Linked DNA regions of Arabidopsis thaliana. The protein of the gene in region 1 interacts with the protein of each later gene in a pairwise test. Each region holds a gene or a part of one and is shown in the gene's direction. Other genes may lie near its edges.

Evidence for each region.
Region 2: the proteins of AHBP-1B (region 1) and ROXY2 interact in a two-hybrid assay, tested with the Arabidopsis thaliana proteins (3 studies listed by BioGRID).
Region 3: the proteins of AHBP-1B (region 1) and AT2G47880 interact in a two-hybrid assay, tested with the Arabidopsis thaliana proteins (2 studies listed by BioGRID).
Region 4: the proteins of AHBP-1B (region 1) and SCL21 interact in binary tests that used the Arabidopsis thaliana proteins (3 or more experiments, as listed by UniProt).

Annotation. Positions count from the first base shown.
Region 1 is NC_003076.8:2,147,257-2,157,243, forward strand, and holds AHBP-1B (bZIP transcription factor family protein), read left to right. Parts: upstream 1-3,583; 5' UTR 3,584-3,875; exon of another isoform or gene 3,876-3,879; intron 3,880-4,052; exon of another isoform or gene 4,053-4,541; intron 4,542-4,804; 5' UTR 4,805-4,866; exon of another isoform or gene 4,867-4,870; intron 4,871-4,958; 5' UTR 4,959-5,066; coding exon 5,067-5,132; intron 5,133-5,231; coding exon 5,232-5,303; intron 5,304-5,391; coding exon 5,392-5,451; intron 5,452-5,572; coding exon 5,573-5,650; intron 5,651-5,727; coding exon 5,728-5,779; intron 5,780-6,066; coding exon 6,067-6,338; intron 6,339-6,431; coding exon 6,432-6,677; intron 6,678-6,771; coding exon 6,772-6,918; 3' UTR 6,919-7,330; downstream 7,331-9,987. Other genes in the region: AT5G06930 (nucleolar-like protein), read left to right, coding at 96-209, 303-593; AT5G06940 (Leucine-rich repeat receptor-like protein kinase family protein), read right to left, coding at 822-1,168, 1,244-3,515; OBF5 (OCS-element binding factor 5), read left to right, coding at 8,486-8,551, 8,634-8,705, 8,797-8,856, 8,957-9,034, 9,110-9,161, 9,317-9,588, 9,668-9,913.
Region 2 is NC_003076.8:4,538,184-4,545,087, forward strand, and holds ROXY2 (Thioredoxin superfamily protein), read left to right. Parts: upstream 1-3,596; 5' UTR 3,597-3,731; coding exon 3,732-4,154; 3' UTR 4,155-4,402; downstream 4,403-6,904. Other genes in the region: CARAB-AK-LYS (Aspartate kinase family protein), read left to right, coding at 1-79, 160-282, 365-481, 564-626, 724-810; AT5G14080 (Tetratricopeptide repeat (TPR)-like superfamily protein), read right to left, coding at 5,082-5,332, 5,420-6,904.
Region 3 is NC_003071.7:19,601,756-19,608,429, forward strand, and holds AT2G47880 (Glutaredoxin family protein), read left to right. Parts: upstream 1-3,274; 5' UTR 3,275-3,368; coding exon 3,369-3,677; 3' UTR 3,678-3,949; downstream 3,950-6,674. Other genes in the region: SETH6 (Phototropic-responsive NPH3 family protein), read left to right, coding at 1-333; AT2G47870 (Thioredoxin superfamily protein), read left to right, coding at 1,584-1,895; AT2G47885 (uncharacterized protein), read right to left, coding at 3,476-3,613; AT2G47890 (B-box type zinc finger protein with CCT domain-containing protein), read left to right, coding at 6,490-6,674. UniProt on the Arabidopsis thaliana protein: Has a glutathione-disulfide oxidoreductase activity in the presence of NADPH and glutathione reductase. Reduces low molecular weight disulfides and proteins.
Region 4 is NC_003071.7:1,717,997-1,726,233, reverse strand, and holds SCL21 (SCARECROW-like 21), read left to right. Parts: upstream 1-3,629; 5' UTR 3,630-3,643; coding exon of another isoform or gene 3,644-3,734; 5' UTR 3,735-3,953; intron 3,954-4,334; 5' UTR 4,335-4,417; coding exon 4,418-5,659; 3' UTR 5,660-5,873; downstream 5,874-8,237. Other genes in the region: AT2G04920 (F-box and associated interaction domains-containing protein), read right to left, coding at 1-96; AT2G04910 (Carbohydrate-binding X8 domain superfamily protein), read left to right, coding at 1,880-2,254; AT2G04900 (uncharacterized protein), read right to left, coding at 2,628-2,727, 3,201-3,244, 3,329-3,409, 3,494-3,564, 3,644-3,734; ZAP1 (zinc-dependent activator protein-1), read right to left, coding at 6,015-6,498, 6,595-6,750, 6,854-7,677. UniProt on the Arabidopsis thaliana protein: Probable transcription factor involved in plant development.

The DNA of each region.
Region 1 (9,987 bases):
ATTTAGAACTGCTTATCAACCCTACAAAGCTGTGATCTCTTATATTGCTTGGTTTCTTCATCTAGCTTCTTGTTTACTTTTTTGGGTTTCCACAGGTCTGCCCATCAATTGGCCTGAGTTTGATAAAAAGGATAGTATGCAATTTCACCCCCGATGAATTCTGCCCGTATCCTGTTCCAGGAACTGTGCTTGAGGAACTCAACGCTCAGGTTGATCTACTTATGTTCTGTGCTTTATTGACTGGGTACAAAGAAAAGTTGTCTTGCTAAAAGCCTAAACCTATGTTGTTTTTGTGTTTCCAGAGCATACTTGAGAATAGAAGCTTATCTAGAGATACAGCTAGAGGCTTTCCTCGGCAAGTCAATCCGGTTTCATATTCTCCTCCTTCTTGTAGCCACTTGACAGACATTGTTGCAGAGTTCAGTGTCAAACTTAAGCTTTCTATGACACACAAAAATGGATACAGCAGCAACGAGAAGGTAGAAACACCAAGATCTCCTCCATACTACAACGTCATCAAAGGGGCTGTAGCGAAGGATAACCTCAATCTTTCTGAGACTAATGAAAGATACAGACTCCTTGGAGAAGCCTAAACCTGGCTTAAATTACCAGAAAGTGCCTGCGGAAATTCCAAACTTATCGGGAAGTACATTAAAAGTCCAATTCTTATTATCCTTGAAGATCAAATGACCAATGTACATTACTACATACTCTAATGTTACACAAACAAAACATACCATCTTGCTCTTGGACCATTTCCATAAAAGCTTGATTTTTGAGTTCAAACCAGTGCTAAGAAACGGTCTCTCTTGGTTTATTGTTTATGCGGAAACTGGTGAGACAGAAGAACTAATACCCTCAAGCAGTTTAATAACTTTAACCAGTGAAGGTCGTTTCTCTGCAGCAACGGCGGTGCAATCTAGAGCAATGTCTAAGGTCTTTCGCATGTCTGATTGGCAAGAATCGGACAAGATCTTTTGGTCAAGAACTTGTGCAGCTCCATCTGTCAGGTTTATCTTCCTCCTGACCTGCTTCACTATGTCAAGGGACTCCCCAGAAGAGCCTTCTTCTGCTTTCTCTGCGCTTTGTCCCGTTACAAGTTCTAGTAATACAACACCAAAACTGTAAACATCCATATCTTCTGTTGCTTTCTTGCTGTAATGGTTTTCTGAATCACATCAAGGAAAAAAATTTCACTAAAGGTTTGCATGTACAGAAAAACTCAGTCGTCCTAGATATTTACCTGGTGCAGTATAGCAGGAGTTGGTGTTTGCATGTACCAGAGACTGAAAAGCAGTTTCTCCAACGATATGGTCAAGAGCAAAATCAGAGAGCTTGGGTTCGAAATCTTTGTCCAAGAAAATGTTTGCTGATTTTAGGTTCCTATGGAGTAAGTGTGGCACATAGTCTTTGCTAATGTAAGCCAATGCTTGAGCAACACCTAGTGCTATCTTCAACCTAATACTCCACGGCAGTTGGTCGCCAGCTCTCGATAGCATATCATGTAAGCTACCATTTTGTGTGAATTCATAGATCAAGAAGATCATCTCGTCTTTGAAGCAAAACCCAAGAATTCGAGTAATGTTCTTATGCCGTATCTTTGCTATGGTTCTCACTTGAGCTTTCAGAGATTTCGAGGATATATTCTTAGAATTCACAAGCTTCTTCACAGCTAATAACTCCCCACTAGATAAACTGAGAACGTATACTTCACTTCCGGAAGGACAACTTTCATTCACCACTTTCATCAACTCATGCTCAGTTAACTTGAAGGGATAATAAAACTCCGAGCGCCAAGTACTCTTGAATTGCACTTTCTTTCGAGAATAACGATATAACACCGCAAGGAAAGTGGCAATAGCAAGTGCTAAACATATCAAAGATAACACCAACGCTTTACCACCTTTTTTATGGAAGTTAGACCGATCAGAGGAGCAAGAATTGGGTAAACCGGGTCCACAAAGCTCAGGATTTCCTTGCAGAAAGGAAGCTGGTAACCCGGAGACCAGAGAGTGAGGTACCTCACCTGATAATCCATTGAATGACACGTTAAAAAGAGCAAGCTTTAGGTTCTGTAAGCCTTGAGGGATCAAACCAGTAAGACTATTATCAGATAGATCAAGATAGGTCAGAACATGTAAATCAGCAAGTGATGGCGGGATTTCTCCGGTGAATGCATTGCCTGCTAGAGACAAAGAGACAAGCTTCTTGCAGTTTTTCAGTTCTGGGATCTTTCCTAAGAGCCTATTGTGAGAGATGTTTACAATACTAAGGACAGGTGAGTCGCAAAAATTCGGCGGTAACTCTCCACTAAACCGGTTTTGTGAAGCAGAAAACTTATACAAGCTCTTAACCAATCCAAGACCATGTGGGATTTCACCAGAAAAGGAATTGTTGACTATCTCAACTTGCTCCAATGCAGAAGCCAAAGACACAGACTCTGGCACTTGACCTGTGAACCGATTATTATCCGCTCTAATAATCTTAATCCTGGGTAATTTCCACAACACAACTGGAAACTCACCAGAAAATCCATTGTTCTGCACTTGAAGCCTCTCCAGACTAAGGCATTCACCAATGGAGTTAGGCAATGACCCTTCAAAGAAATTCGAGTGGAGAGAAAGGTTAATAAGCCTTTTACCACTGCAAATGCCACTAGGGAAAGAGCCAGATAACTTATTCTGTGAGACATCAAGAGACACTAAGTTCTTGAGAGAAGGGCCTAATGATCGAGGAATCTCACCACTCAGGTTGTTCAAACTCAGATCCAAGGTTCTCAAACTTGTCAAACCAACAAACGAAGTAGGAATCTCTCCATGGAACCCTGACCTATGCAACAGAAGCTGTTCAAGCTTGTCTAGCTTCCCAAGAAAAGAAGGAATCTCACTAACCAAATAGCTGTTTTCAGACAAATCAAGAACAACAAGCTCACTTAGCTTCCCAATAGCAGGAGGGACGATACCAGTGAGCAAATTACTTCCCAAGTTGAGAACTTGGAGATTAAACAATAACCCTAAATCTTCTGGAATCATACCTTCGACATGGTTACTGCTAAAGTCAATAACTTTCAAGGAACTAAACTCAGAAATCTGATCAGGGATTGTGCCCCAGATGAGATTAGAGCTGAGATTAAGAGTCTCTAAAGTAACACAACGAGACAACTGAAGTGGGATAGGCTGATTGAAGAAGTTCAAGGAGAGGTCAAGGTGAGTGAGGTAAGGGAGGTCACAAATGGAGTCAGAGATTTCACCAGAAAGATTCAAACTTTGAAGGTTAATGGAAGAGACGTAAAGAGTAGGAGCTCTAGTACATGTGATACCAGTCCAGTTACAATGGTGCGAAGAAGAAGTGTTAAACCAACCTGAAAGAGAGCCTTTTGGATCATCAAAGGAGGCTTTGAATCTGAGAAGGTTACCAAGTTCCTCGTTCTCTGTGAAAGAGAAGGTCTTGGTGAAGAAGAAGAAGAATGTCAAGGCTAGTGAGATTGAAAACTGGTGCTTGAATCTGGTAGCCATTAATGAGTTAAGAATAGAGAATGAAGAGGATCTGCTGAATGAGTGAAGTAGTGAGAGAGTGAGAGTGAGAGTGAGAGTGAGAGTGAGAGTGAATTGAATTTCAGGTGTTGAAAATACGGGGTGGGTTTTGCAATTATAAGATAGTAGGGTTGGTTAATGGTAAAAATAAAGAGTATAGGGTTTAGTTTGAAATTTCCCGTTAAATTTTGGTCGAGGGTCTATGGGGAACTGGTAGATTTGTAGACAAAACGACGTCTCGGAGATTGGAATTTCGGATCGTGTCTCTCTCTGTTTCTTTGTTTCAATCCGATTTCGAATCAAGCCCTTTACTTGTGCACCTTCAAGATTTCGTTTTTCCAGGTCAGTTTCTTCATCAAGCCAACCTTTTTTTCTAGGGTTTTTCTTCCTTTGTTTTTTTTCTGGGAGTTTTCTCCTTCACAGTCCTAAGAAGCTACTTGTTAACTCTGTCTTTTTGCTTTTGAAGTTAAACCTAGTTGACTTTCTCAAGCTTAAAGAGTTCAGCTTTTTTTTTTTTTTAATTGGTGATTTTGTTCTTAATTTTGAGCTACCAAAATCATCGAATTAAATGTTAATCTCTTGAATTCTGTTTCGGTGGTAGTTTCTTGGTTTGAAATCATAGCTGCAGCTTCATGCCGAATTCTCACTGGTTCTAGATTTAGAGTTTAGCTTTTTTTTTTTACTTTACTCGGATATGAATACTGAGTAAGGAATTGAGTCAACTCGGATGTGAATACTGAATAGTTTTTGTTCTAGCTAGAGTTGCAAAACTAAGAGATTCAGCTACTGAAGCTACTTTAGTGTCATTCAAACTGAATTGAAATGATGTGTGTGAGTGTGACTGTACCTAATTTTTCAAACTCAGGCATTTTCGACTGTGCCAACACCTTAAGTCTCACTGATTTTGACTTTGATCCGCGAGCTAAGCTTAAGGTCTGAATGAGTTTCTCAGACTTTGTAGATTGTGCAAGCTACATGTCTGATTGGGTTTGATGAATTGCTTTAAAGGTTGTGTTTTTGATGGGCTATTTTTGTCAGTCTGTTAGCTACAAACAGATTGTTCTTATATATTTGACTTTGTGACTTATGGTAGTCAGCAGAATTTCCCTTAGGACACTTTGAATAAGTAAAGGACTCTTTAGCATTCTTTAGCTGGCTTGTTTAACTGAAACAAACTAGAGAACCTTTTTCTTGACTTTATAGGACATAATTGAAAACTATGTTAGCAAAAGAGATGGTATGTAATGCTGTTTTTTTTTGTGCTCATTCAGCGCAGCCAATGCTCCGGGTGACCAACATTTGTTCCTGATTCATTTCCTATTGATTCGTATTGGTAGGTGTTGATCTTTCTTTTATATTCTATCACCTAATTTTGTTCTTTCTGTCTTTTTTTCTTTTTCTTAATTTCCTTCCGAATCCTGGCAGTCTGTGCACACAAGAGAAATTTCAAGAAGTTGTTACTAAAAGAGAGGCCACAAGTGGATATTGTCTTTGTTATCAAGTGTTAGTACAGAAAAGTGGTGAGAAAGTAATATGGCTGATACCAGTCCGAGAACTGATGTCTCAACAGATGACGACACAGATCATCCTGATCTTGGGGTTAGCTCATAATCTGGCTAGATTTTATCACTTATATTCTTCAAAATAGTGTGATTTTTTATGGACCAAACAAAAATTCTGGTGTTAATTTTAATGCAGTCGGAGGGAGCACTAGTGAATACTGCTGCTTCTGATTCGAGTGACCGATCGAAGGGAAAGATGGATCAAAAGGTGACATGTCCATCTCTGTAGATAAGATCACTGTTTTTATTCAGCCAATTTATAATCTCTTTTTGTTTCCTTATATTTTGATCCATAGACTCTTCGTAGGCTTGCTCAAAACCGTGAGGCAGCAAGGAAAAGCAGATTGAGGAAGAAGGTATATTACCTTCCATTGGTTTTATCTTTTTTTACTTTTTCTTTTCTTTTTAAATTGGTGCATCGCTAGAAGCATAGCTATTTGGTACTACGTTAATTCCTTTTAATTGCTCCCTCCATAGGCTTATGTTCAGCAGCTAGAGAACAGCCGCTTGAAACTAACCCAGCTTGAGCAGGAGCTGCAAAGAGCAAGACAGCAGGTTCAAATTTGTTTCTTATTTCTATTGATTTTTATTTTGTTATTCTGTATACCTAACGGTAAATTTCTTGTTTCTAGGGCGTCTTCATTTCAGGCACAGGAGACCAGGCCCATTCTACTGGTGGAAATGGTTGGTTGCTTATTCTCCATTAGTTTTAATTATGTTTATTTTTTGGCTTCTAATTTGTGTATAAGTTAAGTTCATATATCAACTTCCTGTTGACTTGGTGTAGACTGATCAATTAGTACATCATATCTCATCCCATTACAATACACTGGGTTATCAGAGTCAGTGGCAGACTGACATGGTTCTGATAGCAAAAACTGTTATTCTAATTAGCACTGGTGTAGATTTAGATTTACAAGATGACGAATCTCATGGGTTTGTTTTGATCATGTATAAATTTTTTAATTCAGGTGCTTTGGCGTTTGATGCTGAACATTCACGGTGGTTGGAAGAAAAGAACAAGCAAATGAACGAGCTGAGGTCTGCTCTGAATGCGCATGCAGGTGATTCTGAGCTTCGAATAATAGTCGATGGTGTGATGGCTCACTATGAGGAGCTTTTCAGGATAAAGAGCAATGCAGCTAAGAATGATGTCTTTCACTTGCTATCTGGCATGTGGAAAACACCAGCTGAGAGATGTTTCTTGTGGCTCGGTGGATTTCGTTCATCCGAACTTCTAAAGGTGAGGTCAAATTTCACTTTGTCTTCACCGATTGCATCTGTTTCTACATAGAACATAAAAAGAATGGTCATAGGGAAAAATGTGTTGAAACAGCTTCTGGCGAATCAGTTGGAGCCAATGACAGAGAGACAGTTGATGGGCATAAATAACCTGCAACAGACATCGCAGCAGGCTGAAGATGCTTTGTCTCAAGGGATGGAGAGCTTACAACAGTCACTAGCTGATACTTTATCGAGCGGGACTCTTGGTTCAAGTTCATCAGGGAATGTCGCAAGCTACATGGGTCAGATGGCCATGGCAATGGGAAAGTTAGGTACACTCGAAGGATTTATCCGCCAGGTACAACACTTGTGATGTTTTGAGATGATATCTTAGTTAAGAGTATATATATATATCAATAGGTTAATAATCGTCTCTTGGTTGGTGGTGGCAGGCTGATAATTTGAGACTACAAACATTGCAACAGATGATAAGAGTATTAACAACGAGACAGTCAGCACGTGCTCTACTTGCAATACACGATTACTTCTCACGGCTACGAGCTCTAAGCTCCTTATGGCTTGCTCGACCCAGAGAGTGAAACTGTATTTTGGTCACATGTCAGCTGTACAAAATCCATATGGACACAAAACCAGGAGAGACTATTAATCAACACTTGTCAGATTCTTCTTACCAAATCCATCAACAAATAAGCAAATTTCTGGGAAACAAAAGACTCTTTGTATGTAGGTTTCTTCTACATGGTTGTGGTAATTCATGTTGTTTTAGTTGTAGTCATCAGTTTTTAATTTAGCATTTGAAAAGTTCAATGTTGTTTATATAGCATCTTCGATTATCTTAGAAAGGTTATTGAATTTTGTTTTTTTTTGTTACTTTTGTGTGTGGTAAAGGTGTTTTAACCTTGCAACTTCTGTACTGTAATCATTTAACAATATTAAGATGTTCTATTTGAGTTTTGTAGTTTCATCGCTTGTGTCTTAAATCTTATTTAGTGAGGATTCTAATGTAAACTTCCAAGAGATGATGAAAATGAATTTACATTCAAAGTAAGTGTGATAGATTTTTTTGTAATAAAAAAAGGGACATGTCATTGTCAAAACCAAGAATTATTTTGTTTTTAGAAAAAAGAGAGTGTTGCAATTTTCAGAGGACTTTTTAACCCTCAGCATCTAGAGGTCCACCATCACTTGAGTTTCGTCTTCCATTCCTGTTTTTTTTCAGAGACCGGCAAAATAAAAAAAAAGAAGATCGTACAACTAAAAATACCTCAAAGAAGGAAGATACAAAAGTAGTAACCTTTGTTGGTGATTGATACTATATCTGTTGTGGGTTTTAGACAAAGACCACGTCTTTGCAGTTGTAGATTGGAATTTTCCGGATCTTTCTCTAAATCGCTTTTTCTCCGAGCAACTTTTGTTTGGGGTTAAGCTCAAAGAATCCGTTCTTTTCAGGTGAGTCTCTTCTTCAATAGTCTTAGGGGTTTTAGTTCTTCAGTTTTCTTATTCTGCCTCTGCTTTCATGATTGTTTTTTTCCATTGAAGATTTTGACCTTTGAGGGAATTTTTTCCTTTTTGCTTTATGTACGTGTTAAGGATCCAAAATCATTATTTCGGACACTATTTAAACGAATTGGTTGAGATTTGATGTTATGAAGCTTGAATTTTGTGTCTTTTACTCTGTTTCCGGGGCTAGTTTGCTAAATTCTGAATCTTTTAGCTCTACTTCAGTCTAATGTTCAGATTAGTTACTGTTTCACCTCACGGAGAGCTTTACGCTATAGAAGTCCGTTGGTTCTCATTTCAAATCATATAGGCGTGCTTATTGTTTACTTTGATTCTCTGGCTTTGAATACTCAAAGTTCTTGAGGTCATTGGTTGCTTCACAGCTATGTGTTAAGTTTAGTGGTTTGGATCTTTATGTTAGTGTGACATAAATAGGGTGATGTATCGTATCATTGTTTCCACTTTCTTGATTCTACTTAATGCGTTGGTTTTTGGCTTAAAAATATGTTTTCTTTCTCTATAACTCTAATCTTTTGTTTATGTTTACCATCTTACTTTTGACAGTCTTTACTCCATCTAGGGTACCACGATTGGATCGGTTTTTATCTGATGATTTAGTAACAGAGATTTTGAAGAAAAAGAAAAATGGGAGATACTAGTCCAAGAACATCAGTCTCAACAGATGGAGACACTGATCATAATAACCTAATGGTTAGCTTGTAAAATTTCTAGGTCTTGCTTCTTTATGTTCATTAAATGGCCAAAGTTTTGAAATAAAACAGTATTTATGCAGTTCGATGAAGGGCATTTGGGTATCGGTGCTTCTGATTCTAGTGACCGTTCAAAGAGTAAAATGGATCAAAAGGTGAATATAAACATCTCTATTTTGCAAGAGTTTGGTTTTTGTCATTGAGCCTTTCAGTTATGTTTTTCTTGTTTGTTGTTGTAATCAACAGACGCTTCGTAGGCTCGCTCAAAACCGTGAGGCTGCAAGGAAAAGCAGATTGAGGAAGAAAGTATGCTTAGATTTATGTTCATAGTTTCAATTCTTTTATGTTTTTTACAAGCATAGCTATTTGCAAACTCTAAGATGTTTGTTGGTTACTGCACTTTTAGGCATATGTTCAGCAGCTAGAGAACAGTCGATTGAAGCTAACACAACTTGAGCAGGAGCTACAAAGAGCACGGCAACAGGTTTTAACTTTGTTCAGCTATATTTGTGTAGATATTTGCTCTGTTGCATACATAACATTTTTCTCTTAATCTTAGGGTGTCTTTATCTCAAGCTCTGGAGACCAAGCCCATTCTACCGCTGGAGATGGTGAGTTAGCTGAATCATAATTCATAACCATTTATTGATGATGTGGTTGAAAATTTTAGTTTTGTTGGTTATAAAGTAGAGCAAGCACTAGTTTGGTTGATGGTGTTGATCACTTTCTTGTGAGATAATTTTTTATGAATGCTTCTCTTTTACAGGGGCAATGGCATTTGATGTAGAATACAGACGATGGCAGGAAGATAAAAACAGACAGATGAAGGAGCTGAGTTCTGCTATAGATTCTCACGCGACTGATTCTGAGCTTCGGATAATTGTAGATGGAGTAATAGCTCACTATGAGGAGCTTTACAGGATAAAAGGCAACGCAGCTAAGAGTGATGTCTTCCATTTATTATCAGGGATGTGGAAAACCCCAGCTGAGAGATGTTTCTTGTGGCTCGGCGGTTTCCGTTCATCAGAACTTCTCAAGGTAAAAAACACACGACCAGGTTCGGTTTATTTGGTCTCTTCACTAGCAAGTTTCCAAACTTTTTACTTCTCTACTACAGCTTATAGCGAGTCAGTTGGAGCCCTTGACAGAACAACAATCGCTAGACATAAATAACTTGCAACAGTCTTCTCAGCAAGCAGAAGATGCTTTGTCTCAAGGGATGGACAACTTACAGCAATCACTCGCTGATACTTTATCGAGTGGGACTCTCGGTTCAAGTTCATCAGGGAATGTAGCTAGCTACATGGGTCAGATGGCCATGGCGATGGGGAAGTTAGGTACCCTTGAAGGATTTATCCGCCAGGTACGTTACAATTTTGTTGTTTAACATCAAATGAAAAAAGTATTTTGCAGTCAGTTGATAGAACCATCTTATTG
Region 2 (6,904 bases), 2.4 Mb from region 1:
CATTGTTCTGAAACGTAATGTGACCATGTTGGACATAGCAAGCACCCGTATGCTTGGCCAATATGGTTTCCTTGCCAAGGTAATATAATTGGATAATGATATCTTTATTCGACTTTGTTTAATATCTCACTGGAAGCATACTCACTGTCTCGTGTGCAGGTGTTTACCACATTTGAAGATTTAGGTATATCGGTTGATGTTGTGGCAACAAGTGAAGTTAGTATATCATTGACATTGGATCCAGCAAAGCTCTGGGGTAGAGAGTTAATTCAGCGAGTAAATGTAATACTCCTTTGACTTTGATAGATTGTTTCTTTTGTGAGGGTCATATGTGGTATTGGTTAAAGGGACTGGGTGTGAACAGGAACTGGATAATTTGGTGGAAGAGCTAGAGAAGATTGCTGTTGTGAAACTACTTCAACGCAGATCAATCATCTCTCTCATAGGAAATGTTCAGAAATCCTCACTCATATTAGAGAAGGTGAGTGAGAGTAACATGTCTTGTGTTCTCTTTTGAATTTTGAAGTTTTAATTTAGTGGGAATGGAATGAATGACAAAACAGGTGTTCCAAGTATTTAGAAGCAATGGAGTGAATGTGCAGATGATCTCGCAGGGTGCATCTAAGGTTAGATGGAATCCGCTGCTACATGATAGTGAATGAATATGGTTTACTTATGGTTATAGTGAATGGGGATATGTGTGTGTGTGTGTGTGTGTTTCAGGTAAACATCTCATTGATAGTGAATGATGAAGAGGCAGAGCAATGTGTGAGGGCTCTCCACTCCGCCTTCTTTGAGACCGATCCTTAGTGCAACACAGAGCACCCATCTCTCTCCTTCAACTCTGCTTCTGTGCGTAGTTTAATGCTAAGAATGTGTCAAGACTTGGAACTATTTCAAATTCTTGTCCATTGTTGTTGTTGTTGTTGTTGTTGTTGTGATACAATACATCATAATTTGAGCCAAAGCCTATAATCTTTTAATTTAAAGAGTACATAGACAAGCTCAAAAAGAAATAAAGAAATAACCAGTGTGTTGAGTAGGGATTCAGATTTAAAGCTTAGTTTTTAGGATTTAAGATTTGGTTTTATGACATAAGGTTTACAATTATTAGTCAATGGTAATTATACTATTTTGTTCACAAGAATTAAGATATAAATTAGTTTCTTCATTTTGACATCAGTATATTTTCATAATTTCTTCTTGTCAACAAAAGAAGAAAAAAGAAAAAGAAAAACAAATTCAGTATAGAAGAGAAAGTGAGCATTGAAGGAGCAGGCTTAGGCCAACTCCAATGGGACTCTAAAACACCATTTTAGTGTAATTTTTGCACTAAAAGCTCTCCAATGGAACTCTAAAATTCACACCATTTTAGTGTAATGCTACAGTGTTACATCAAATTTGGTGTGATACTATTCACAACTCTAAACACTATTCACTTATTATATCAATAAAAATTCAATTAACAAATATAAAATTACAAATGATTAATAGATATAAAATATAAAAATGAATGGATACATTAATATATTATATCTCTTGAAATAGTTTATTTAGTTATGATATTTTTATATTATTATGTATGAAAATACTCAAAATAGTTACAATTTTATGTATTTTTAAATATATATTTCAATATACTATGTTTATAATGTTATGTAATTCTATACTAGTAATAAATACTAATCAAAACTATTAAATAATAAAAGAAATCTTTTAAATAGATAATATAATAGTATATATTTTTTTTAGTATGATTTTTGGTGTTATGGTCGGAAAAAACACAAGTTTTAGTGCTAAAAATGATGTAATTTGAACACCAAAATGGTGTTGAGCCTTGAAGATGCCCTTAGAAAGTAAAGAAACACTTTAAATGATACCGAAAATACCCTTCCTGAAAAGCATAAGCAACAGTTACTTGACCAGGGTCATATCCGACCGACCAGCCGGTCAACGAGAAATACACATCTGATGAAATCTGTTACGTAAGGCTTCTGTAACGGCCTTCCAATTTTTTCCATATAATATATGATAAAGTGGTCCGACAAACGCAATCCCTCAAAGATTGTTATTTTATCATCATCTTAAGAACAAAGATTTAGTCCTCCAAATCATATAAATCAGCTTTAATTAGTTTATACACCAAATCTTAAACCAATGAAGGGACATTTAACTCTTCGGACTCACTTAAACTATATATACCCATATCTTAAGCTTTCTTTTATTTTCTTAAAAAGTAACAGAAATGTTCTCAAATAGATCGATGTATAGAATATGAATAATTTAGGGATATTATTCATATATAATCAATCGATGAGAGGTGACTCTATATTGCAGATTGGGTACCTACAAATTTCATAACAAGTTGTTTGTGCTGACAACGATAAATGTTTTTATTTTAGCATTTTTCCTTTTTATGGAAGGGGTTGGTCAAACATGAGAAACAAGAAGGCAAATTTTGCAGATAACAAAAGGAAGGCAGAAGCATGCATGAAAGCCAAAAAAGCATGTGACCAACTTTGTAAAATTCAACCTTTTTTCTCAGCCTTTTGGTAAAATTATCTACAAATCCAAACTATATATATATGGAACTATACATTTTTGTCTAACTGAATTCACAACATTTAATAATCATATATAAAGAAAAAGATGGTAGCAAACCAAGAACACATGCCAACTTGTAATTTCCATACATCAAGAACACTGACATTCTGATGGTAAGCAACTAAACACTGTTGGCAACTACAATCTCTTTTAAAAGTTCATTCTCAAGAATATTGATGACTCCTTTATTTCTTTTTATATAACATTAACTAGCCAATTTTCTATATCCCATTAGGGGCTAAGAATAATAAAATGGTTACGAAATTCGATCTTGATCACCAAAAGATATTCCAACTTGTATATATGTTTAGCGCTACATTTGTGAGATGCTAATTGGATTACACAATCCAAAATATATATTCCACTCCTTTTGCGATCATATTGATAATGGTATTATATGTAGCTTGTTTATAGAGATTGATTAGAGAGGATTTGAGAGCATAAAGTGAATACGGAATATAATGGAAAACCACCGGCCATATATCCAAACATTCGACCTCATCTCTGCGTTACGACTTGCTCACATAATGTTGGCAGCATCAAATTTATTATTCGGCGCGTCTCTATATACAATATATATATATACACATGAATATTGGACCATTTGTATTTATATATATGCATATATTGGACCATTTGTATTTGATAATATTGGACCAATTTCGCAGACAAAAACTAGCTAGCTAGTGTAAATGTGTAAGAAGATATTACAGAAAAAGCCGACAAGAAGGATAGATATATCCATTACCAACAATTCCCTTATTCTACTAACCTATTTAACTGAATAATATTCTACTTTTATATGGTTGTAAAATCTTGAAAAAATAAATAATTATACTTAAATGGGACTCAAATGTCTCTTAAAAATATCATCCTATCATAACAAAAGCTAGCAACCATGATGGTCCATGACTATCACATCAATAACTTTGTTATCATTTGGCATATCCTCTCTAATAATATGCCATTTTAAAATAAATTAAAACCTACCAGTTAAATTTAGAACTTCACCATGTATAAATACTCTGCATGCCTCTCACTCTCTCCCCAACCAACTCTCACACAAATTCTCTCGCTCTCTCACTCTCTTATTCTCTTTCTCTTTTTCTCTAAGAATACAAAAAAAGATGCAATACAAAACAGAAACTCGAGGGTCGTTGTCCTACAACAACAACAGTAAGGTGATGAACAACATGAATGTGTTTCCGTCGGAGACACTGGCGAAGATAGAGTCGATGGCGGCAGAGAATGCGGTGGTTATATTCAGCGTGAGCACTTGCTGCATGTGCCATGCCATCAAGCGTCTCTTCCGTGGAATGGGCGTCAGCCCCGCCGTCCACGAGCTCGACCTCCTCCCTTACGGAGTTGAAATCCACCGAGCTCTCCTCCGTCTCCTTGGCTGTTCCAGCGGTGGCGCCACATCTCCGGGGGCACTTCCGGTGGTGTTCATCGGAGGGAAGATGGTAGGAGCAATGGAGAGAGTGATGGCTTCACATATCAATGGCTCACTCGTCCCTCTTCTCAAAGATGCTGGCGCTCTTTGGCTCTGATGAGTGCTAATCTCATCCTCCAAATATCAACCTTTGGTTTATCTTTGGTTTTTAAGGACAGAAGAAATAGGTTAATCCCAGTGTTGAATTAGAGACAGTGAGAGAGAAGAGTGATGCGTTTGTTTTAAGCTTAGCTCTTTGTCTATCTTAAATCACACTAATATATAAATGTTAACTAATCGCTATGTCTCTTGTTAGCTTTCTTATCTCTAATTTTACAATTTGACAGTTGATTTGCAAAATTTAATGGTCATTTTTCACAAATAAAAATTTGCCATGAAAATAAAATAAAATTAAAGGTCAAACTAAGACAAGAACGAGGAGGTTATTTTCATGACCTAAAATCTTAACCGTTATAACTGTTAACTTGTGGGGGAAATAATCACCTCATGAGGGGTCCCCACTCCAGATTACGTGGAGACCCACTAACAATAATCCGTGATTTTGACCCGACCGTTGCGTCAAGAAGAGCCCGTACATGATCATCCAATAACGTCACTGATTTTACAGCTATCAATTCCTTCCTAATTCATTTTTGCTTTTAAAAAACAAATTAGAGAACACTTCTTCAGTCATTCATATTTCATACAATCACATGTCACCTTTTCTTTGTTTTTTCTTCTTCTCAAAGTTGTAAGAAAACTACAATTACAAGGTCACATTATCTGAGTTTGGAAGGTTTTTAAACATTTCACTTCCATTACAACTTTAAAGGGCTCATCAATTACCATGATGAGTAAAAGAAGGAACTAAATAGCATATATACCTTGAGATAAGTTATACTCATTAGAATAATTCTTACGTAGACAATAAACGACTCGTAACGTGTAAGTCACCCAGAGATCTTGATTACAGCAGTATAGGAATCTACACAGAATAAAGGGAAATACAATTTGGGGAATCTAATCTAATTGCCTATTGGTGTAATTATGTGTTCTCAATTGCTCGAATAAATGGAAGAATGGAATCAGGATCAGATGATGAACAGAAAGACGCCAACAGGTCAGAAGATATTGTGTGAACAAGAGATGGCGATACCTCTTTGATCCATTGCATATGTCTAATTCCAATCTCAACCTCTTTCGCATCCGCCACACATTTCAGCAACACGACATGTGCTCCTGTGTGTTCTAAGTGTTCTCTCTCGCGCAGCAGCTGCGATGCCTCACCAGAATGGCCTTCACACATACACACCAAACGAATCAATAAATATCTTGACATGAGGCAATTGGAAAAGACTAGAAGACATATTTGTTCTCTCTCACCGTTGCTGCATAGATTTAAGACAAACTCGCTTAATACTCTTCTTGTAACTGTTTTATGATCCCTCTCCATGCACTTTCTGAAAACTTCCATAGCAGCTTCAATTTTTGTCTCCTTGCATAGGCCTTCAATGAGTGACATATAGATTGTTTCATCTGGTTCTATCCCTCTCTCAAGCATCTTGTCAAACAGCCTTAAAGACTCCTCTGCCTCGCCTTCCTCTGATAATTTCCTAATAAGTACATTATATGTCGTCAGATTCATTTTGCAGCCCTCCACAAACATCTCATCCCACAGTTTCTTTGCTGGACGGATCATTTCCGCTTTGCAACAAGCTTCAATGAGAGCGTTATAGAGTGAAACGTCTGGAGCAAGCCCTTCCTTCTTCATTTCTTGCAGAGCAGTGTAACTTTCTCTGACTCTCCCAGCCTTGCACAAGAACGATATCATCAGACTGTAACTCTGAAGTTCTGAGAAATAACCTTTGCTTGACAAAAGCTCATAAGCCTTTATCAGATGATCACTCTTGTCATGCCTGCAAAGATTCTTACTTAACTTGCTCAGAGTCCGAATAGCAGGCAATTTCCCTGTGCTGACCATGTAAACTAAGAATTCAACAGCAGAATCTGGATCAACTGCAGAGACAGATCCAATCAACGCGTCTAAGATATCATTATCCATAGGGAATTTTCCACTCACAATCACCTCAGCCACTTCCTTAGCCTCCGTTAATCGCTTAGCTGAAATCAAATCCAGAATAAAAGCTCGGTAATCGCTGCTCCTAGGTGCTACTCCGAGCTTTCTCTTCTTCTTTAAAACAACCTGTCTCTCATACAGATTCCCAGTAACTACAAACGCTTCAGCTATGACCCTATAAGCCATAAAATCCGGTTTGCAATCTATGTTCCTTAGCTCTTCCAATATATAAAAAGCATCCATTTCTCGTGAACACTTACAAAGACTATGGAGAATCAACAGTGCAATGATTGAGCCATTGATATTCAAATTAGCCTTTTTAACCTCATCCACCAATCTCAAGAGCTGATTCGTTTCAGAACTTCTACAGAACCATCCTATATAGACACCGAATCCAAGAGTGTTCAACGAAACACCTTTATGACGCATTTTAACAAACAGTTTCTGTGCATAATCATAACATCCATCAGAAGTTAAACCAGCTAAAAGACGATTGCATACATCGGGATGAATCTCCTGACCCGTTGAAAAAGCTTCTTCTAAAACCCAAAACGCACTCTGAGCTTTCCTACCCAGCACAAGCGTATCAATGAGGGAGCGATACACGGAAGAATCGAGAAGGATTTTGTTCGATTTAACCTGTTTGAAAAGAGCGTCCATGGCGGAGAACTGACGAGAAAGCGAAAGAGACTTGAAGATAGAGTGGTAAGATATGGAGTCGTGAGAGTAACCTGGTTGCTGAGCAGCCCAATTGAAGAAACCGAGAGCAAGAGAATGATGATTCAGCAGAA
Region 3 (6,674 bases), on another chromosome or scaffold:
AGCGGAGCCATCTCGCCGAGGGACAACTATGCATCAGTGAGAAGAGAGAACAGAGAGCTGAGACTAGAGGTGGCCAGGATGAGGATGAGGCTAACGGACCTGGAGAAAGATCATGTATCGATGAAGAGAGACTTCGTGAAGCCGCAGAGCAGGAGGAGGCGTTATGGAATGTTGAGGAAGCTCTCGAGAGGTCTGAACAAGTTGAACGCAATCGTTTTGAGATTTAGGAGCAGCCAAAGTGTTGCCAGTAGCGGTAAAAAGCATACGGAGGAGAAAACGAATTCGGAAAGACGATTCATGTTTCAGAAGAGAAGATGTCACTCTGTTTCTTGACTTGCTTGCTTCTTCTTCTTCTACTCTTTTGTAATATTTCTTTAACAAAGAAAAGACGAGAGTGAATTTGAGTGTGTAAATTTGTAATTTACAGATTCTAGAGTTGCATAATACATTCCCAAGTGTGTAAAGCTTGTCTTGTATATACTGTTCGTTGATGATGATATATTGATATGGATCAAGAAGACCCTTAACGGAAAACATTTTGTTCTAGTTTTGTTTCCAGCTCAATGGGGCAAGAATTAAGTCTTGATCCCTTTGTCACTTTTCTAGGCCTTTTCTAGTAGGCCTATATATTATATCTCATTGCGCTCAACGGCCCACTACAAATCTTCCGGAGTATATTAGACGTGAAAAAAACTGTGAGATTTTTTTTACTCACGGGCCTAATCTTTGCTTTATAGGTACAGAGAATTTGCACTATGTCAAGTGTCAACGCCTTGTGATGACAGGAAAAAAAAAAACAGAATATAATCTACGACCTACATAGAAGAACTATGGACGTCGAGATTTGAACTAAAAGAATCTAATTAACATGACTGGTCCTTGCGTTTGCCACGTCGTTGGATCCCCTCGACAAGGTAATATATCTACCTTACCTGTGAGATATTTTGTAAGGGAATATATACATTAATGACAAATATCTTGAAAAAAGAGAGGATGAAATCAAGTCTTGGTTTGGAATTTGGGTTGGTGATTCCACAACTCAATTGCTGTGACCACACTAGAAAAGTATTTTGGCTCCCTCTCTAACAGGTTGGCCAAAACGTACCTAGATGTAATGAAAATAACTATATAATTACTACTTTATTAATCTGTAACAAAAACAAAAAGCCTATGTTTTTTTTTTATTAGATGACATTTTTAAACACCACACCAGTCAACACCAGATTTTTGCTTTTGACCTTTGTATATTATTATCATTTTAAATTATACGTTTGAATAACTAACTTACAAAAAAAAAAACAATAAATTTCAGCTTTTTGTCCATAAATTTATTCCAAAGAAAAACTACTATATATTGTGATGTATAAACAAATGTCAAGGGTATGTGATGCTGCTGCCTGTCGCAGACCGAAAGCGACACAACTTACCTTTTTTGATAACATACCAAACTATATAATTGATCGCGTTCATTTTCCGAAAATATATGCCGAATGCGGCGGGGCTATAAATAATAGTTTGATCGATCGGCTTGTTTATCATCCATACTCAAGGCCTCGAATTAACACTTCTTTGTCACATCGTCGATGGAACGAGTAAGAGATTTGGCATCGGAGAAGGCGGCTGTGATATTCACGAAGAGCTCGTGTTGCATGTGTCATAGCATCAAGACTCTCTTCTACGAACTCGGGGCGAGTCCTGCCATCCATGAGCTTGACAAGGACCCGCAAGGCCCTGACATGGAACGGGCCCTCTTCCGGGTATTCGGGTCTAACCCTGCTGTCCCTGCGGTTTTCGTAGGAGGAAGGTACGTCGGCTCAGCTAAAGACGTCATCTCCTTCCACGTGGATGGCTCCCTCAAGCAGATGTTAAAGGCCTCTAACGCCATATGGTTGTGACTACATATCATCACGCTTCTTACTATCATTTATTCTACACACACTAGTTCATATTATGTCATCTCGTGAATAATACATACATATATTTATCTAAGCTTGCATGAATATTGAATTATACTTTTAGTAACCATATATATAGAAGATTATGCATGCTCCGATGCTCGTGGAGATTAATTATCAGTTGATACGGAGAAACTAGACTGTAATCAATCATCACGTAAAGATTTCTGTTAATATCGGAATATCATCTGGATTTAGCATAATATCTTCCGATTATAGAAAAAAATGTACGTAGTATAATACCTAACCGATATACAAATGAATATCGAACGTAACTATGCTATAACTAGTATATATATGATCGTTTTTGAATCAAACATAAAAGAGAATCTCGCTCATGAAAAGATTACTACACCCACAAAACAATCGAAAAGTAAGCCAAGAATGACGCAGCAGAGTTAACATATGCGTGTGATTCACGCGTGCGTCCGGCAAGAAAGACATTTCGAGAGAAGTGAATCAAACATTAGTGTAAGTGTGAAAGAAGAATATATAAAAAAGAAAGATGGAATAATTTTCTTTGGCAAGTTGGTGTTGGCGGAATCACCATGTACGATGCATATTGTTGATACATATATATACATGTTTATCACCGAAAGGTCCAATCTTTTTCATTTATCCTCACTTTGCGCAATGACTCAATCAAAGGAGATATGTTGAGAGAATCCGTTAGATTATAAATTGACAAGCCTCTTTTCTTTTTCTAGGGGTATTAATCATGCTATATTTCTTGTCACATTGATTTGAATATCAGCAGTTTAAGAAAATCGCTTAGCCAAAAGTTATTAAGAAATCGTCTGATTTCTATCATTGTTGTAATCAATTTGATAAGCTAGCTTCAACTTTCATATCTATGTTAGTGTTTCAAAATTACTATCATATGCATTCCGTTCATACTTATTTCATCAATTAGTCCATGCATGCATGTGCTTATTATTTAGATTAATTATATTTATGTCACTGGCAATGCGTATACTATTATTAACCCACAAAAAGGTGAAACTGATTACAATTTTTCGAATCGTATTCGTAAATTACTAATCAACATGTTATGACGATCAAAACAACTGCAGCGTTACCGTAGAAATAAAAATAAATTGAATAACTTAGAAGTGAGAGTAATGTTTGCAACTTGTGCAGTCAAACAGAATATAAATAAGAAGAAAAATTCTCAAATAGGCATCTGATATTTTATCTTTCCTTTTTGATATTTTCTTAGAAATAAACTACATTTTAAATGGTCTTTTCTTTCTAATTAGCAAGAAAAAAACACACTCGAAAGACTCACTCCCTTCCTATAAATAGGCGAGCAAATGTCAAGCTTTTTACATACTCAAAACAAAACAAAACATACATCAAAACGCTAAAGTTTAAACCCCTAGCCATCATCAGATCTTCAGACTTCTGAGGATCATGGACAAAGTGATGAGAATGTCTTCAGAGAAAGGAGTGGTGATCTTCACGAAGAGCTCATGTTGTCTCTGCTACGCCGTTCAAATCCTGTTCCGTGACCTTAGGGTTCAACCAACCATCCACGAGATCGACAACGACCCGGACTGCCGTGAGATCGAGAAGGCTCTTCTCCGGCTCGGCTGTTCCACGGCGGTTCCAGCTGTCTTTGTCGGAGGCAAGCTTGTTGGCTCCACCAATGAAGTCATGTCCCTTCACCTTAGTGGCTCTCTTGTCCCATTGATCAAACCCTATCAGTCCATCCTTTACTAGCAAAATTAAACCAACTCAATATATAATATCTAATTATTAGCTAGTGAGAATAAACACAGTTACAGCTAGAGTGTGAGCTAGCTAGATATTCAGTGAGGACTTCGTCTGAATTAATGTTTATCGTTTGTATGTTCTATTGTTTAGCTTCTCTCGTGTTTCAGTTTAGTTAATCAACTGGTGTATGTTGATGTATGACTCTCTGTTTATGCTAATGAAAATAGTATTGAAACTTTTACATTTTTTCCCACACAATTAGTAACGATCTCTTGTGTATGTTGAGTAATTTAGGGCTTTCCATATAATAAGGCAAGAAACCGTTTATACTTGTCTGTTTTTAACATGGTATCAGAAGGAGGCTACACACAAACCATTTTCTTATTTAGAAATATTCACATACACTGACAGTAGCTAGAATAAAAATGTGAATGGCCAACACATGCATGAACTCGTCTTCTAATTATCAAGATGTAATGTATAAGTTGGCTTCATCATTATTAGTTAGACCTATTGATAGTTAACATTATATCGGGCGATATACAGATTTAGCCTTTGTGATGTTGTGTTTAGAGCGTACTTTTGAATCAAGGATAAATCAGTGCCCATTAGAGTATATATAAATCGAATGTGAAAAATATTAGATCAGAATAGACTTAATTAGTCTCCACCATACAAATTTGGTAAGAAGAAAAACAATGATAAGATACCAGTGGCCTAATGCAACTAAAGCAGTTTGAGGAAGAGGATGGAAGATCTTTCGCGGTCCAAGTATATCATGGCTACACAAAATCACTGCTCTTTTTGCGTTCCTTTATTCTTGAGTATCTTCACGTTTAATTTACTATTATTTTCTAATGAAAAATTGTACACCTTTTTATATATATGAACTCTTTGTTTTTTCGTTAGTTGCTCGTGTAGTAAATTAAACATATATGCTCATAATCAATAAAAACATACAATGTTAGAAGAAAAAAATACAATTTTTTTTACTAACGAATCATATGAATAGTTGTTTTATATACGGTACATTAACGATCCTCTCATCAGCTTTATAGATAACGAAGCATATTATTCTCCTTAGTTCCGCTTTTTATCACTTGAGATTAAACTCTACTCACAGGTTTAAGCACGTAAATTAGTTACTAAATAATGGATTTGACATTTACGCTTTGCATGCTTATATATGTTACCCATAATTATTTCCCTTTAGTTACTTAAAGTTACCAAAATCAACTACTTCAAGATTCTCCAATCAAAAGAAGCGTGTAAAAGCCTCTATAGTTATATAGTAGTATATAGACCTTGAAGATTTCTTTTTGAAGAAAATATGATTATACTGAGTTCAAAAGGTCGAAAAGAAATAATAAAGGTAGAATCCCTTTACATGATGTGTGGAACAACTTTTCTTGACCTCCAACTTCTTGGGATCGTGGGAAATATATAGGAGAATCTAATCGGAAGTTGTACAGAACGTGTAAGAACTAAGAACCATATTCACTTTGTTGTCATTGTTATAAGATTCAAGATTCTTTGACCGGCGCGTGAAAAAAGCATCCACCTATAGGCTCAAGATTCGTGTCCAAGAAAATATCGAGAACCGATGATTACTTGGAAAGTGGACCATTTTTTAAAAAATCAAAAATTAAAAAAGGAACGTAGCTCATGCGAATAGTTTAGTCCACCAAAGTGAAATGGTAGAACATTTGGTTTCAGTTTAGTTGTGTGTATTTTTATTAAAGGCTTCAGAATCAATTTCGATTTTTGAAAAATGAGTTTTTATAGCCATGTTAGTATGTTACGAGGATGGAAAAGCAACCTAGCTAGATTATCTTGTGATATGTGTTATTGTTCAAGAGAAGTAGGGGCAGTAGTTGTCGAGATCATGTTATTAGTGTCGCTGGAATGTTAGATATTGCCCATCCTGTCTCTTTTTCCCCATCGTGCCCTAAAAGTCAAACTATGCATGGTATTAGCTAATCTTGAATAGGTTTAATTCAGTACGGAAACTCTAATTGAAAACTACCTTCATGGAGTAATAGTTATCGAGGAACGATGATGAGGTATTAGTGGAGATAAGCAGATTTGGACTCAATATCAAAAATTAATGGTGGGATCCATTTCCGTTTCACCTAATATACATAGTGGCAAACAAAAAACAAATATAAGAAGAAAAGATTCAGTATCGAGCATTCTAGCTATGTCGGTAACGTGACAAAGTCCTTTTTTTCGTTTGTCTGTTTCTTTAAAGTTAATCAAATCGGCCAACGCTGCCTCAACAACGAGCTTCCTTTTTCTAACGTCCCTAATTTGCCACGTCCATTTTCTGGACTAGTCCCGGTTTAAAAAATCTTCAGAGATGTATTCGTGGTCAACTTCATTAACTCTTTCTCTTGAGCCCTTCATTAGTTATGATCTTATTTACTTTTTAAAAATCTAACCAAGTACTGTATATTATATATGTGGTAGCCAAAATATTATGTTAAATTCTAGGCTAATCCGATATATCAAGAAAAATCAATATATAAAAATGGAGAGCTATTTTTCACGAGTTAAGTGAGAGAGATGAGTAAAGAAAGGCACGGGAAGGTGAAGAGAGTGTAGGTTTCCAGCTTCTTCCCCAAGAAATAAAATGTATTTGACTTTGTCTAAGCAAATATGTCGTCACTTTAACGTCATTCATTACCTAGAATGCAATTAAGATATGGCTTTTACATAAGCCACCAAATTTGGTTTTGTTGCCCCAAAATATCCCAAGAAAAGATCAACTTCTTCTTCTTACCAAAACTGTCGGCGTCGTCTCCTCTAAGCTCCTCCCATGGAAGCAGAAGAAGGTCATCAGCGTGACCGCCTCTGCGACTATTGCGACTCCTCCGTGGCTCTTGTCTACTGCAAAGCTGACTCCGCCAAGCTCTGCCTCGCCTGCGACAAGCAAGTCCACGTCGCCAACCAACTCTTCGCCAAACACTTCAGGTCACTTCTCTGCGACTCCTGCAACGAATC
Region 4 (8,237 bases), on another chromosome or scaffold:
GTTCCATTGTTTGCAAGTAAACCGTAATCGTTTCAGAGATGTGGCTGGGACCCTAGAGAGTATGTCTTCCACCAAATCCGGTGGAAGATCAGACATTGTTTCTCTTGTGAAAGAAGAAAGCGACTCGGAGGCTTGTAGTATAGATATTGGGGTTTTGAGTTTTTCACCCTTCAACCAATCTTTGTCTTTTATACAAACAAAAAATTAGGGTGTTGATTAATTAATATTAAATAGACTTGTATATAAAATTATAAATGTTACCATAAATTATTTTCATCACCATAAATATTCTAAACTTGTTAGATAGATAACATATTATTTTTCTTTTAAGAAACAAAATTAAAAGAAATCTTAAAAATTTATTGCATAAGTTTTATATCAAAGATGACAGATGTAAATGTACTATATAATGACTTAAATTTACGGTATTTAATGATCCCATAGGATTTTTACATCCCAAATTAAATGAGGCAAATTTAATAATTAGTTTTTAACATATTCACATAAAAATTGTTGCATTAAATAATAAATGTACATCAATTACAAAATTGTGTATTAATTCGTTTTTTTTTTAATTTAATATTAAATTATATTTAAAGAAAAACTAACATTTTTACAACTAGTAGTGCATCAAATGTTTGATTAACTTTGAAGCTAAAATTTTAAAGAATTTCGAGAACTATAAAATACTCAACTTCGCATCATTGTTGAGAAGATGAAAATTTTCTTGACAAGGATACGCAGATAAAAGTATTATTGCATAGACGCAGTTTCACAAATGTCTATGAATCTTCTTTTCATAATAGAAGTGGAGAACCAACAATGGTGATAGCCTATAAAAAGGCACCTGGTGATGTGTTACAAACAACCATATACTAGGCTTGTCAAGCCAGTGGAGCAGACTGCAATAAGATTAAAGCCTAACCAACCTTAGCTTGTTTCAAGGCCAGCAGGCCAACACTATCAAGGACCATGCCTTCGTTGTCTTCAATAATTATTACCAGCGTTATAAGCACAATGGAGGTTCTAGTTACTTTAATGGCGCATCACCGATTTTTTAAAAACATTTATCTATTTATGACTAAGAGGTTCCGAGCTAAGCACATACATTCTCACAAGCTGGGAACCAAAACATTTTATTTGGTCTGCACATTCATCCTCTTAGGCGGGAACCAAACCATTTTAATTTATATGGTTCTCTCCCGAGTGCCACTCAAAAATGATCATGGATTGCGACCCTAGTATGCAATTCTGGCTAAATCCTTTGGTTTTAGGAGGCTTAAAGTTCTGCTTCCAATATTGTTGTGTTTCAAAGTTGGTGGTGCAATAAATTTCACCTACATATCTTGTTTTACTCATTTGTTATTTTTGGTGCACATGCAATAAAGATTAGATGTTTCACTTTTCTCTTCTTCTCCAGCTAATGAAACAGATATTATATTCAAATGTAGAACTTCAATAAGATATATGGTATTAAAATTACATCAATTTGGTAATTGACATTATCCATTCTGAAACAAAATAAGCTATATATGATAAGCTTGACCACATTCCATATAACATAACTCATATATATTTGAATCAAATTCATAGTCAACAAAATTTGGCAGTTGATATGACTTACACCTAAATATAAGATCTTACATAATTCATTCTTTATTTTGTTGGTCAGAGTATAATCCATTCTAAACACAGAATACTAACACTATAAAATACTCGAGTTATAACCATCTTTAAGCTCTCAAACAGTTCAACTTGCCTCTTGTAAAAGATGAAAACTTTTTGTTTAGGGATAGCAATTGCTCTACTTTTCATAACAGTAACGTTTTCAGGTACAATATTATTGTAACATACACATAATCTCAAAGATCTCTATAACATGGGGTATCTTATTTTTGTAGCGAAAGCGGAGTTCGGACAATGGTGTGTAGCCGATGGACAGATACCAGATAATGTGATACAAGCAGCCGTAGACTGGGCTTGTCAAACAGGTGGAGCAGACTGCAGTACGATTCAGCCTAACCAGCCTTGCTTCTTGCCCAACACTGTCAAGGACCATGCCTCTGTTGTCTTCAATAACTATTACCAGCGTTATAAGCGCAACGGCGGTTCCTGTAACTTCAACAGCACTGCATTTATCACACAAACCGACCCTAGTAAGCAACTTTATCTAAACCCTTTTTGTTACAGTTATTTAAGCTCTTTGATCAATCAAAATCTTGAACCATCTGTTTCTGATTATCTCATGATTTGATAGGTCACGATTCGTGCCATTTTGAGTATGTGCCATTTTGAGTATGTCCAATGATTCAAAGGAAAGACCAAGATGAAATGAAAGATGATGAATTATACTACCGGTGAACAATATAAACAAATCTTTGTTGGAACTTGGAAGTTCTTGTAATGTAGAATTTTGATAAATTGTATGGTAATAAGATTACATTAATATGGTCGTCATTTACATAATCCCTTTAGCAACAAACTGAACAAGTAAAGGAAGATGCTTAATGGTTGTCGACACAGAATTGTTATTAAGCAATCTCTTAGGTAAACAAAAAAAAACAGTGAGTTCATATGTAGGATAAGCTTGACCACAAACTTGACAATATAGATGGTTATGAGATTGTTTAGAAAAGTAAAGTTGCCCATGCAGCAATGAACGCAAAGCCTCCGAATGGTGCCAATGTCGAAAACTTTCTGTCCTCCCGCAGCGCTACCATATAACACCTGCAACAACATTTCAACACACATGAAACTTCTCACATACTCATACCCGGAAATAGACTATTGAACACAAAACTAAAGTTATCTACTAAGCATCTAAAATATAGTTACTTCTCCAAAGAGCATACCTTCACATATCAAAGGAAGTACAAAGGGGACAAATACCATTCATTAACTCAAATACAAAGACCTATGCTATTAAATAAGTGATACAATGGTTTCCAAATGCTTCAGAGTTGGACACATGTCGAAATCGATAAAATCTCCCTAGCCACGAAGAATTGTGGCAAGTATTGCTACTGCTAGAGATTAGATATGAATTCTAGAAAGTCCAAATCATATCTAAATAGCTCAAATATCCATGAATGCACTACTATAACCTCAATGACAAGACATCCAACAAACATCTAGCACAAAAGCTCTACCATACACATCTCAAACTGAAGAATCTGAGAAACAAAAAGATAACAACTTACGTGCCGGAAAAGGCTACAATTCCAGCAGTCAACAAGCCACCAAACTAAGCAAGAAAAAGATATGTCAGCTCCATCAACTCTCAAAGGACAAAGATTAGAGAAACAGAGTACAAGAAGAGAAAGCTAACAATGTTGGGATATTTGGTGCTAGGAGCAGAAACAAGAGCAGCAGTGTGAACCAAATGGTAAAGTGAAGCCGTTTGCCACACCTGAACAACAACAAAAAAACCTAAACTTTCTCACAGAAATCCAACAAAGTATCGAATTTTCCAACAATTTTCAAGAATCTAAACCTGTTTGTAAGAAGGGTTCTCTGGTTTAAAGACATGAGCACCATAAGTTCCCAAACCAAGAGCAGCCATACCTAAACCAATTCTATCCGAATCAGTACCTTTCCTCACAAGATCAAAATCAAAAGATCATTACTTTATCTTAAATCTCACCGGAAATAGCGGCGACTTTGTGCCACATCCGAGGATCCATCGATCGTCGTCCTCTGATGTCTCTTAGATTGCTTCTTACACTATTTCCCATTTGACCAGAGACTTTAAGCGAGATGTGTCAAGTCGGTGATCGGGTCTTATTCGGTTTAAGCCTAAAACGACGTCGTATGTGATGTGTTATTTTCTTCACTACAGCAACTAAAAAGATTCTTCCTTTTGCTTCAGCTGCGAGCTTTGGTTGGATCTCTCACTTGCAAAACCAAATCCCTTATCGACTTCCACCGAAAGATCACTTCTTAACCTACACAAGGTTTGTTTTTCTCATAAAAATCAAACCTTTATTCTCTTTTCTTGATGATTTTGATGCTCTGCTTCTTCTTATCCACAAAACATGAAAACATTTCTTCTTTGATAAGTTTGATGTTGGTTTGTTGTAAATGATTGCTCTTTCTAGCAAGCTTTACTCTAAAGTGTGAAGAGAAATTGTCAAATTAGTTTGTTTAGGATTGGAACTCTTGTATGCCTTGTTTATTGATGAAGTAGTTCATGGCTGACGTAGATTCATAGAGTCATGAGTTGATTTCAATGATACTAGAGTTCTTGTTAGAGTTTTGATCTCCATGGATATTATTGTTCAATATTGATATCTAATTCAGTCTCTGATTAATGACTTTGTCTATGAATTCTACAGGTGTTTGTTATGAAGATCAGATAAATAAAAGGTCATTTGAGGATAATGGTTGATGTTCAAAGATTCTTACTTGCTTATTTGTGATGGACAATGTAAGAGGTTCAATAATGTTGCAGCCACTGCCAGAGATAGCTGAGAGTATCGATGATGCTATCTGCCATGAACTCTCCATGTGGCCTGATGATGCTAAAGATTTGTTATTGATAGTGGAGGCAATATCAAGGGGAGACTTGAAGTTGGTACTTGTTGCTTGTGCAAAAGCTGTTTCTGAGAATAATCTTCTAATGGCACGATGGTGTATGGGTGAGTTGCGCGGTATGGTTTCGATTTCTGGTGAGCCAATCCAGAGATTGGGAGCTTATATGTTAGAAGGGCTTGTTGCTAGGCTTGCTGCTTCTGGTAGTTCGATATATAAGTCTCTCCAGTCCAGAGAACCAGAGAGTTATGAATTTTTATCTTATGTGTATGTTCTGCATGAGGTTTGTCCATATTTCAAGTTTGGATACATGTCAGCGAATGGTGCGATTGCAGAAGCAATGAAGGATGAAGAGAGGATTCACATTATTGACTTCCAAATTGGACAAGGGAGCCAGTGGATAGCACTTATCCAGGCTTTTGCAGCTAGGCCTGGTGGGGCTCCAAATATTCGAATTACCGGAGTTGGTGATGGATCTGTCTTGGTTACAGTCAAGAAGAGACTAGAGAAACTTGCAAAGAAGTTTGATGTTCCATTCAGGTTCAATGCGGTTTCAAGGCCAAGTTGTGAAGTTGAAGTGGAAAATCTTGATGTCCGAGATGGCGAAGCCCTTGGAGTGAACTTTGCTTACATGCTGCATCATTTGCCAGATGAGAGTGTAAGCATGGAAAACCACAGGGACCGGTTGCTGAGGATGGTGAAGAGTCTATCACCTAAAGTAGTCACTCTTGTGGAACAAGAATGCAACACGAACACTTCCCCTTTCCTTCCTAGGTTCCTTGAGACATTAAGTTATTACACGGCAATGTTCGAATCTATCGATGTTATGCTTCCGAGAAATCACAAGGAAAGGATCAATATCGAGCAGCACTGCATGGCAAGGGATGTCGTCAACATCATAGCTTGTGAAGGAGCCGAGAGGATCGAAAGACACGAGCTTCTCGGGAAATGGAAGTCAAGGTTTTCCATGGCGGGTTTTGAGCCATACCCCTTGAGCTCAATCATTTCAGCCACCATTAGAGCCCTCTTGAGAGATTACAGCAACGGGTATGCGATTGAAGAAAGAGATGGTGCTCTGTACCTTGGTTGGATGGACCGAATCTTGGTCTCATCTTGTGCATGGAAGTGAAAGAATAAACGTCTCCAAGAATGTAATGCAAAAGACAGAACTGGAAGTAATAGATAGTTTTGTCTCATAACCATTAATAAGGTTGAATCAAATCATATACATCCCCATGCTACAACTATTACACAGGCTCCATCAACAAAGAAGGGCTCTTGTTGTGTTACCTTCTCTTCCTGTAACTCTTATTTGAACCAAATGGAAGTGGTTACATAAAGGTATTAAAGCATACTATTCCATTAAACACTAATCTAAATCTGGTCCCGCCTGAACAACAACTGTACAGTCTATAACCATATCGCCTGTACTAATCTATGTTAAAACAGCCATATAAATTACCACTCGGTACAACACTGAATGCTTAGCTTTGGGCAGGCTCTGTCTTGGGTTTTTGTTCCTCGCTCTCCAGGGTTCCTACTGCCTTCTCTTGACAAACAGTGGTTTTATCATCTGACTTTGCTTCCGGCTTGGCGTGATTGGCTGCGTGATCTTTGTTTGCATCTGATCTCTCTTTTATTTCCTCCTTCAGCTTCTCATCCAAAACTGGACCTTGATCAAGACTTTTCTCAAAGCCATTAGTCTTCGTTTTCTTTCTTAAGTGATCTTCGACATGCTGGTCTTTTGTAATGGATTGAAGAGTTGAGCTCTGTGGAGTCTTGTTGGCATCTCCTTCTTTATCATCAACTTCCGAGTCCAGCATGTTATTATGAGTAACAACTCTTCCTGGAGGCATATCGTGGTCGTGTTTTCCCTCGTAAGTTGTTATAAGCAACTTTGTGTCATGAGATGACCTCTCTACGTGTTTCTTGACGGGGCATCCAGGGCTTGAACATCTATAGTAGCTCCTAATACATAAAACATCAAATGGAGAAAGAACGTGAGCAGCGAAGAATGAAACCAAAAGTTTGACATTATATTTCAAACATGTAAGCAGTCACTACCTTGGATATGGGCTGCCTTTTACTGATTTCTGACCATATTTACGCCATCGGTACCCATCATTCACAATATCAAACAGAGTCTGAGTGTGAACCACAATGCGTGAATCATTGGTTGACCTCTCCACTGGACTCAGCTCAATGTTCCCTCCTTTCTTCCTGATTTAGTGACATCAACATAAGAAGAAAAAACAAGGAACACCAATGGTGAAGTCTTCCTCCAGAACCATGAAAAACAAACCGACATATCAATCATCAATACCTTCGCTTTGCGGTAGGACTATTATAATCCTTGTGAGTGTTGTCCCCCGTTATCCTACTTGATTGTGAAATATCAGTTTTCACATCATCAGCTGGTGGAATAACTGAAACATGTAATCCTCCATGGATCTTTGGTGGTTCGGTTTGACGAAGTGTCTGAACACTGGATCCAGATGTTTTCTCTACAAACATGATATCATAAGAAACAATGCACAGCTTATAAATTAGAGAAACTATATCTATTCTTTGTTCACCTTTACTAACAGCTGTGAAGACATCACTTCGCTTATCCTGATTGATAGGAACAGCACCAGCAAGAGGCTTTGGGTGATCATGTTCCCCAAAGTAAACGGTATCCACGACTTGTCCACCCGCAGACCGTTCCAACTGTTTTTTCGCTTTGCAGTTAGGGTGAGTGCACCTGTAATAGCTCCTTACAAACTCATTTCCTTTCACAAGTTTCTGTCCATATTTCCGCCAGTTGTATCCGTCTTCCATAACCTTCTCACGAATAAAAGGACTATTCCCTTCCGAACCAGACTGCAAAGATAATGCACCGCTACTTTCAGAAACCTTCGGTGCTTTCTCGGATACCGGGGAAGCAACATCTACTTCCGACTGCGAAGCTACCGTATGTGGAACAAGTTTTTCAAGCTCCTTACAGTCAGTAGATTCCAAACTTTCAACAACGGTTTCAGTTCTAGTTACAGCCACTGGTATGACCTCCGCTTTATCAGTAGTGGCAACAACATCATCCACTGCTTTAGTCTCATTTGAATGGTCTAACTCCATATCACTAGCCAGAACTTTTCCCACCTCAGCCATAAATACTAACAAACTCAAGTAAACTCAAAACCGGAGAGACTCGAGCTTAACCCCAAATATATCTAATTCCCAAAGCCTGAAGGAGAAATCAAAACAAACAAAAACCAAATCATTACAGTGAATTCACACTAAATTCCACAGAAACAACAATTAGGAATAAAATGTTGCAGAATAACCACTAAAAGTCTCCACTTTTGGGAAATTTCTATATCAATTACAATCTTAGTAAAGACTCAAAATTGATTAGTCCTATGCTTCACCAACGATCTTTAGACTCAAGTACTTTACTTTGAAACAAACAAAACCCCAAAATTAAAGCATTTGCTAAAATCTTATAACCAAATTACATAAAAAGTCGGCAAATTTGTTCCATTTACTACGGAGTTAAGAGACGACCCAGTAACAAGATTCGCATAAAGATTCAACATTTAATACTAAATTAAAGAATTTAATACAACTTCAAAAACAAAATAAAATAAAGAATTTACCTAGCACAGACATCGAGAAGATCATCATCCGACCAAATAAGATAATCCCAAAAAACCGAAGCTGCTTATGTT